Linked DNA regions of Arabidopsis thaliana. The protein of the gene in region 1 interacts with the protein of each later gene in a biochemical or structural test. Each region holds a gene or a part of one and is shown in the gene's direction. Other genes may lie near its edges.

Region 1 (4,613 bases):
AGGTATAAACATAATGTCAGAGATTAGAGACAACAGAATTGGATACAAAGCAGGAGCATTAAAGGCAGGAATGATGCACAACTATGTGAAACAATGCGAATTCGTCGCCATTTTCGATGCTGATTTTCAGCCTGATCCTGACTTTCTTGAACGAACCATTCCTTTTCTTATTCACAACCATGAAATCTCTCTTGTTCAATGCCGTTGGAAGTTTGGTAAAGTCATATCTTTTTTGAAAAATAATAGTTATTATTTTGTTAAGTCAAATTGGCTAATGGAGAGAATGTGTTACATGTAGTGAATGCAAACGAGTGCTTAATGACAAGAATGCAAGAGATGTCACTAAACTACCATTTTGTGGCTGAGCAAGAATCTGGATCTTCAATACATGCTTTCTTTGGATTCAATGGAACCGCGGGTGTATGGAGAATCGCAGCTTTAAACGAAGCTGGAGGATGGAAAGATCGAACAACCGTAGAAGATATGGATTTAGCAGTAAGAGCTTGTCTTCATGGTTGGAAATTTGTCTATGTCCATGACGTCGAGGTACTACTACTATAACCCTTTTAAACTCAAGCAAAACATAACAAGATTTCATTCAAGACATTATTAAGTAATCTAACATTTCAGGTGAAAAATGAATTGCCAAGTACATTCAAAGCATACAGGTTTCAGCAACATAGATGGTCTTGTGGACCAGCTAATCTATGGAGGAAGATGACAATGGAAATCTTACAGAACAAGAAAGTGTCGGCCTGGAAGAAATTGTATCTCATATACAATTTCTTCTTCATAAGGAAGATTGTAGTACACATCTTCACATTTGTCTTCTACTGTCTGATATTACCAACAACTGTGCTATTCCCTGAGCTCCAAGTTCCTAAATGGGCAACTGTTTATTTTCCTACTACAATCACTATCCTTAACGCAATCGCTACACCTCGGTAACAACATCTCTACTGTTCAAGTAAAACTCTGTTTTCTCATTTCCTAGTATGATAAAAAGTTTGACATATATTGTCTACTGCAGATCACTCCATCTTCTTGTCTTTTGGATCTTATTCGAGAATGTAATGTCGATGCATCGCACAAAAGCGACATTCATCGGGTTACTAGAGGCAGGACGGGTTAACGAATGGGTTGTTACTGAAAAATTAGGTGACACTCTCAAGTCTAAGTTAATAGGTAAAGCTACAACTAAGCTTTATACCAGATTTGGACAAAGGTACTCTTAACTTAAAAACACACACACAATTACAATTTTTAAGCATTTTGAAATGTTGTAACTAATTTTAGTTAACATTTTGCAGACTCAACTGGAGAGAACTCGTTGTTGGATTATATATATTCTTCTGCGGATGTTACGATTTCGCATATGGAGGATCATACTTTTATGTTTATCTGTTTTTACAGTCTTGTGCATTTTTTGTTGCTGGAGTTGGTTATATTGGCACATTTGTTCCAACTGTTTAGATTAGACTTTTGTATTTGAGAGCAAATGTGTTTTTGCTATTTGATTAGACCAAATTAGAGATTGGATCTTGGTTACTTAAACCAAGTTAACTCTTCCAATATTCATACTCAAAATGTAATTTTTTAAATGGTGTTATGATCTTAAAATTTGGTTATCGATCATATTCATACGTAACATTTTATGAATTTGTATTTGCCAATTGTGTTCTAGAAAGAAAATTGAGAGAAACATACAAAAAAAACAAGTCAACGTCAATGATTTAAGATGTTGAAAATGACATGGCGGTTTTGGATTGGTTAGATGCAATCCACGGCCAATGACCCATCACGCATGTAAACCGCGTAAGCACAAGGCCCCTCCACGAAAACATTCGTCGAGGGGTATTCTAGGTATTACCGGTGATAATTTATGTGAATTGACGTTTTTATCCTTTGCCTCTATAAAGATCTTCTTCCGTTTTTGCAATTACGGCGTCGCGCATTTAGCGTTGTTTTGAAGCTCTCTCTTTCAAATTCTGTTCGTCTCTCGCGATCTCTCTCTCTCTCTCAGATAGCTCCGAAACTTTCACGCAGAGGTATTATTGATCTAGATCTGAGCTAAGGCATTCTCAATTTTGATTGTTTCAGTGTGTTCTTAGGTTGGGAATTGAATATTCTTGCTTCGATTTAGGATTTTTCTTATGATGATCCGTTGTATCTTTGGGTAATGCTTTGGATTTCGATGTTTTTGGTTGAAAATTCTGATTTCGATCTGCTGCTGCATCGTTTCAAGTCTGGATCTATGAACATTATCTTCGATTTCACCTTTTTCTCGTTGTAATTGCTTCAATTAGATTCTGAATTCCGCAAGATCTATACGATGAGGTTTTGTAAACGTTGTTGCATCTGTTTCGATCTGCGTTATTCTAATGATTTATAGTCAACATTTGGAGTTCTCGCTGGTGATCTCTCTTTATGTGATATTGATACTCTGTTTCTGTGTGTTAGTTAAGTGAAGCAGGATGGGATTGTCATTCGCCAAGCTTTTTAGCAGGCTTTTTGCCAAGAAGGAGATGAGAATTCTGATGGTTGGTCTTGATGCTGCTGGTAAGACCACCATTTTGTACAAGCTCAAGCTCGGAGAGATTGTAACCACCATTCCCACTATTGGTAAGCTTAAACATCATTTCATAATTCAGTGTTTCAAAAGCTTAGTTCCATCAACTTTGTTCATACCATTCATACAAAATTTTGTCTTCCACCTGCCGTGATGATTAAACTACTACAAACTGTGGACAGGGTTCAATGTGGAGACTGTGGAGTACAAGAACATCAGTTTCACAGTGTGGGATGTCGGCGGTCAGGATAAGGTATAAGATTATCCAACTCTAAAGCATTAAGAATTCTTTTTTTTTTGCATCACTACCTGGGGATCTTTTTCCTACTGTGTCTTGGTATTATTGTTGATGAACATAGAATTACACAAACTCACATGTCGCAAAACCTCCACTTCTTGTTGTCAGATCCGTCCCTTGTGGAGGCATTACTTCCAGAACACCCAAGGTCTTATCTTTGTGGTGGACAGCAATGACAGAGACCGTGTTGTTGAGGCTAGAGATGAATTGCACCGAATGTTGAATGAGGTCTGTATCAAGTGTTATATCTTTGCCTGTTGTATTGAATTCTTCATGTTTAGATGATTCAGTAAACTGTTTGTCGGGGTTTTACAGGACGAGCTGCGTGATGCTGTTCTGCTCGTATTTGCTAACAAGCAGGATCTCCCAAATGCTATGAATGCAGCTGAGATCACGGATAAGCTTGGTCTCCACTCTCTCCGTCAGCGTCACTGGTAAATAAAAACATTATAATCTCCCCTGCTTCCCTCATGTTGATTTGTTCTCCTGCACATAACGTTTCTTATGATATAGTTCCAAAGATTTATCACCTCTCTGATTGATTTTATGTCTACGAACTCTCTCCAGGTACATCCAGAGCACATGTGCCACTTCAGGCGAGGGGCTTTACGAAGGTCTTGACTGGTTGTCCAACAACATTGCCGGCAAGGTAAATTATCACAAACAACAATTTTGATTTGTGGATCAGTATTTTGAAGCAAATCGTGATTCTTGTTTCTGTGTTCTTGTTACTGGTTGTGCAGGCGTAGAGGGAAAGTTCGTGGTGGAGTTGATTTGCTGAGCAAATCTGGATGCAGGGGCAAACATTATCTGAATTTTTTTTTTGGTTTCCGTTTTCGTTATTGTTCTGCTTTTTTTTTTGGGATATGTCGATGGATTTTGTGATTGTACGTAGAACTTAGAAAAAAACTACCTTTTATATAGTTTTGGTAAAACTGTAATCGAAGATTTCACCTACTGCTTTCGTGGTTTTGGTCACATTTTACTTGTGCACTTTGATTCATATGTTGGAATGCGGTTTCGTTGGCACCTGCTACACGAAACTTGATGATTTTGCTAGTATTTGTCATATGAATCAAGTAGAGGAAAGCCATGACCAGTAGGCGAAATGCTAGAGTGTGGCAGAAGAGGAATGAGTAGACAATTTAATCATAAATCCACTTGTTTGAAAAAAAAGTTAACATTCAAAATTCTTTGCTGGCATCCTCTAATCCCTTTAATATTTCCAAATTCTCGCACTTTTTGAACACCACATTCATTTTTGTCAGAATATTGCGTTCTTAATTTGTCTAGAATAAGCACACTAAAACTAATAATTATCTTAACAACCATGGAATAACATAAATTATCTGTTTTTCTTTATAATATTTTTGTAGAATTGTAGGTTAATGAAATGTATAAATTGTGATTCTAAGAGTATATATGAATAGTACAATTGTACGGTTGGAACTATTTTGCGGATTACTGTTCAAAATTAATGTGTTTAAAGGTCACTGATTTACTTTCTTATTCTGCCAGCCATTAAGGGAACGTTAATCATCATTTTGACTAGAGTGATAGTTGCAAGGACGATATTAAATACAGTATTTGATAAGCAATTAAGGAAAATAAAAGAAACAGAAACAGAAACAGAAGATTTGAGTTTATTGAAGAAGGAATTTAGAGTGATTGGAGTTTTAATAAGTTTTGAGATGATTTTGGTGAATTTTGGTGAATTAGGAAATTTGTCACTAAAATTTCCTCAAA
Region 2 (4,910 bases), on another chromosome or scaffold:
TTTCTGTTTTCACTTTGAACAATGGTATGAAGCTGGTAAGAATTGGATCAGACCCAATCGCCAAAAGCTACACAGAAGGGGAATTACGGTAATTCCGAAAACACACTTTAACACACGGTAATTCAGACCCAATCAACTGTTGTTATCCTGAAGAGCTTATAGAAATAGGAAAGTGCACAACATACATAGGAAAAGAAACACACATCAGTTCTCTTATTCTCTCATAAATATGAGATTCTAATTAATCAATCCTCCCTGAACTCTGAATTCCCATGGTTCCATCACAAGATTGATGCCATCAATCAATATGTTATTGCTGCTATAAGAGAACTGAACTAAACAGAATGAATCTCGCAAACAGAACCCAACTATGATGATGTTGGAGTTAAGTAATTAAAGTTTAAAGTCCCAAAGAGAAAGACTTTTCTTCCCACAAGTAAACCAATACAAACACCAAAGCTAGATTATATTCTTACATGAAAAACCGAAAAGATAGATCTCGAATCGCCATTTTCTCAATTCAGAATTGAACAAAGAATCAAACGAAACATAGAAATGAATTAGATCGTAAAGAAGAAGCTGAAATACGCAAAGGGGCACTGAGAGAAATGAAAGAACATACCTTTAGGAAGAGGCAAATCGTTTGGCGACGACGACACCGTTACAATGTCCCTCTAGCCAATGAAAGTGGATGATAAGAAAAAATTATGACAAATCGGTTTGGTTTTGGTTTTGACGGAGAATATATGAATCGATCCACACAGTTTAACCTAGATTTATTTGAGCTGAGACTATTAAACCCCAAACATATGAATCAGATTCCAAAAAATAGAGAATCCCTACGATGATTAAGATGCAGTCTCTCAATTTTCCCGCGCGTTTTTCTTCGTCTTTCCCGGTTAACAACTTTACGTCGTCGTTTCACAATCATAAAAATTAAACGGTTCCGATGTGATGATACGGATGACAACAGATCCAACGGTCTATATGTGATGTTCACAAAATCACATGGCTGTGACAGAAAGACTGTGACGGCTATGGCCTATTGAGATTTGTTAATTGGGGGAGTTGAGATTTCTCAGCTGTTGTTAGGGATTTGTATGAAATGTTCTAATTGTTTGAATGAATGAATCAAATGTTATAATTTGTGCATTGGAAAATAATATATAACTAGAGTTGAAAAGCTTCTAATGAGCATTATTGTTCTAAAAAGATAGTCAACAGGGAGATAACAAGGATTTGAGTTCAAAAGAAAAGAAAGAAAAAGATACAACAATTCAGAATGAAAGAGTAAATTCTGGTAACTGTGACTTTGCTGGGATTTGGCTACTCTACCGTACCAGACACGTGGACCGGAATAATGTGAAGCTGAACAATTCCTCAAGTCCATGCTTCATGAAGTGTTCTGCCGCTTTTTGGCCTTTAGTTATGTTAATAAGACTCTACATTAGGTTCACCTGTTGGACAATTCCAGTACCAATCTTTTTTTATCTGCTTATTAGTGAAAAATAAAAGAATATCATCAAAGACTTATGGTTTAAAACAGTGCAATGCATAACAATCAATGAACAAGAAACAAACCTTGACACTCAGAATCTGTCCCTGCTTCATCACTTCAGTTAATTCCTTCTTCAGACCCCCATCAGTTGTTCTCCCGTTCATATTCACAGCAAGGACATTTGGTGTCTTAATGCTCACCTGGACTTTAAACTGACTTCCACAAGTTAGGGTTGAGCGGAAGAAGAAAACGAGAGTAGTTTTAGTTTTTTTGGTTGTTCCTTCCAGACCCGGCCCGATATCGAAGCGACCAAAGCCCATGCTTTTTGAGCAAACACGTTTTTAGCAGAGACCTTGGAAATATTGAGTGAAGCTCTCACGTGACAAAAACACGCACAAAATTATTCAAGTTACCACGTTTATTAAGCAAAACGATTGAGCCAAAAAAAACGCATCAGAATCTGGAACCTGGATCAGATCTAGTCAGGGGTCAGATCGGAGAGCCGGCAATATAATGGCAGCGGCGAGACGATTACGGACGCTCCAATCTCAGCCGGAGAACAAGGTCTGTGTCGATTGCTCCCAGAAGAATCCACAATGGGCATCGATTTCATATGGAATCTTCATGTGCTTGGAATGCTCCGGTAAGCACCGTGGTTTAGGTGTTCACATCTCATTCGTCAGATCCGTCACCATGGATTCATGGTCCGAGATCCAGATCAAGAAAATGGACGCTGGAGGCAACGAGCGTCTCAACAATTTTCTCGCTCAGTACGGGATCTCGAAAGAGACTGATATCATCTCCAAGTACAATTCCAACGCCGCGTCTGTGTATCGAGATCGGATCCAAGCTTTAGCTGAGGGAAGACAATGGAGAGATCCGCCGATTGTTAAGGAATCGGTTGGTGGTGGATTGATGAATAAGAAGCCTCCGTTGTCTCAAGGCGGTGGTAGAGATTCTGGTAATGGTGGATGGGATAATTGGGATAACGATGATTCGTTTAGATCTACGGATATGAGGAGGAATCAATCGGCGGGTGATTTTAGGTCATCGGGAGGTCGTGGTGCTCCGGCGAAGTCGAAATCGTCTGAGGATATATATTCACGGTCTCAGCTGGAGGCGTCGGCGGCGAATAAGGAGAGTTTCTTTGCGAAAAGGATGGCTGAGAATGAGTCTAAGCCTGAGGGACTTCCTCCTTCACAAGGTGGTAAGTATGTTGGGTTTGGATCTAGTCCAGGTCCAGCTCCGAGAAGCAATCAACAGAGTGGTGGTGGTGATGTTTTCTCTGTTATGTCTGAGGTAAATTTGGAAGCTTTTTGAGAGTGATTTGGTTAGATGCGACATGCGAGTGACTTCTCTGTTTATCCTGTAAATGAATGTGTTTGTTTTACGCGTATATGCTTATAGGGTTTTGGAAGATTGTCTCTTGTTGCTGCATCAGCTGCAAATGTTGTTCAGACTGGAACCATGGAGTTTACTTCCAAGGTACTTCTTTTATCATTTCTGCTTCGATGTTGTGGTTGATTCGTTTGCATCGTGATCAGTAAGCTCACTCCTTGGTAACATTCTGTAGTCTAGTTGTTAAGTTTATATTGAGATCGTGACTATTCGCTTGGTGTCTGTCTAATTGCCGCTATGCTCATTGCTCTGTTTGTTAGATTATCCCATTTTTGACATTGTTATGTAACACAAAATTAGAGTCTTTTCTAGCTGCATAATCTTCTTACTTTAATTGCAGTGTTAAAGCTCTTTTTTTTTTTTTTTGTCTTTATGCCCCTGCAAAATCTCTAGGGAGATCCTCTAAAACGCTGAACTGAGCATAATGCCGGATGCTCGTCCTTCTTTTCAAATACTGCTAACATTAGAAATTATAGAATTTTGAAGACAAGTGAGATAAGAAACCTTTGTTCATTGTGCAGGTCAAAGAAGGTGGCTTAGATCAGACGGTCAGTGAGACTGTTAATGTTGTTGCGAGTAAGACAACAGAGATAGGACAGAGGACATGGGGGATCATGAAAGGAGTGATGGCAATTGCCTCACAAAAGGTTGAAGAGTTCACTAAAGAAGAAGCATCAACTTGGAATCAACAGAATAAAACTGAGGGCAACGGTTACTACCAGAACTCTGGGATTGGAAACAAAACAGCAAATTCATCTTTTGGAGGATCACAATCATCATCAAGTGGTCACAACAACAGTTATCGTAACTCGAATTCTTGGGATGACTGGGGAGAAGAGAACAATAGCAAAAAGGAAGCAGCACCAAAGGTGTCGACTTCTAATGATGATGACGACGGCGGTTGGGCTGGTTGGGATGATAATGATGCTAAAGATGATGATTTCTATTATCAGCCTGCAAGCGATAAGAAATCTGTAGGTCACAATGGGAAATCAGACACTGCTTGGACCGGTGGAGGTTTTCTCTAACGGTAAGCACCAAATCAAGTTAAACGAATCGAATATGTAAACGTCTATATAATCACCACAAAACACTATTCCCTAAATCGCAGGTGTTACAGGATAATGGTGAATGAAGTTTGTACAATTAAGGAATAGCAGAGCCTGTGGTCTTCTCGTGCTCTGTCACAAGAGAGAGCAGAGTGGTCATCTCAACCATTAAGCCACCACTGGTCTTTCTTTTCACATATCAATTGCTTGGCGTTCAATCAAATCGATCGTCACTATTTGTTCTTCTACAATATATATAGTTTTTTTTTTTATTTGTACAAGTTTCACAGTCACAGAGGATTGCTTGCTAAACTATTCGGGTTAGTCTTCAGCTCTTTTTTTGAGATTCAAACTTTTATTTTTCTTGAAATTTGTAATGATCACAAAAGACAAATTTTCCGTTTTATTGTCTTCTTTCTCATTCGCATACTACTTTTGGTCGGGTTGCTATCGTTTCTTACTTCACTGAATTTCTAGTTTACCGGGATCTGATCGGATTACGGATTTACATATTCAGAATGAATTTTCAGTACGTCAAAAAGAAAATGGGTTATAACGTTTTTCTCAGCTTATTTCATACATAAATTTCTTCAGTACCTTGAGGAAAAGAAGTAGATAAATAGAGGTGTTATGTCCGAAAATGGCGGTGTTAAGCGGAGATGAAACATTATGGAAGAAATACTATGACTTCACACTAACTAAATCTCGATATACCAAGCAATGTCTCTTTGGAATGTTGAAAGTTTGAAACTTAAGGAAGGCTAAGCTTGCTTAACGTATACGATGCAAATTGGTTAATGAATGCATGTCATAATTTCATTTCACGTCTCATTTCATGTTTGTATTTTAAAATTTTAATTATAACGAAGAGAAGTTGGTCAATGAAGGATGACAGAGAGAGCATGTCTCTGTCACGTTTTATGTTCTATCGTTCAAACCGGACCAGTTCACACTTCCATTCAATA

The links. The genes of interacting proteins can lie anywhere in the genome.
Region 2: the proteins of ARF1 (region 1) and AGD7 form a complex in vitro, tested with the Arabidopsis thaliana proteins (one study listed by BioGRID).

The regions. Positions count from the first base shown.
Region 1 is NC_003070.9:8,334,758-8,339,370, forward strand, and holds ARF1 (ADP-ribosylation factor 1), read left to right. Parts: upstream 1-1,835; 5' UTR 1,836-2,048; intron 2,049-2,460; 5' UTR 2,461-2,474; coding exon 2,475-2,622; intron 2,623-2,751; coding exon 2,752-2,822; intron 2,823-2,975; coding exon 2,976-3,095; intron 3,096-3,182; coding exon 3,183-3,301; intron 3,302-3,434; coding exon 3,435-3,516; intron 3,517-3,610; coding exon 3,611-3,616; 3' UTR 3,617-4,070; downstream 4,071-4,613. Other genes in the region: CSLA03 (cellulose synthase-like A3), read left to right, coding at 1-215, 299-546, 631-944, 1,031-1,225, 1,311-1,473. UniProt on the Arabidopsis thaliana protein: GTP-binding protein involved in protein trafficking; may modulate vesicle budding and uncoating within the Golgi apparatus.
Region 2 is NC_003071.7:15,754,558-15,759,467, reverse strand, and holds AGD7 (ARF-GAP domain 7), read left to right. Parts: upstream 1-1,866; 5' UTR 1,867-2,011; coding exon 2,012-2,797; intron 2,798-2,905; coding exon 2,906-2,983; intron 2,984-3,417; coding exon 3,418-3,924; 3' UTR 3,925-3,926; intron 3,927-4,007; 3' UTR 4,008-4,390; downstream 4,391-4,910. UniProt on the Arabidopsis thaliana protein: GTPase-activating protein (GAP) for ADP ribosylation factor (ARF). Involved in protein trafficking by controlling ARF1 activity; may participate in COPI vesicle formation at the Golgi complex.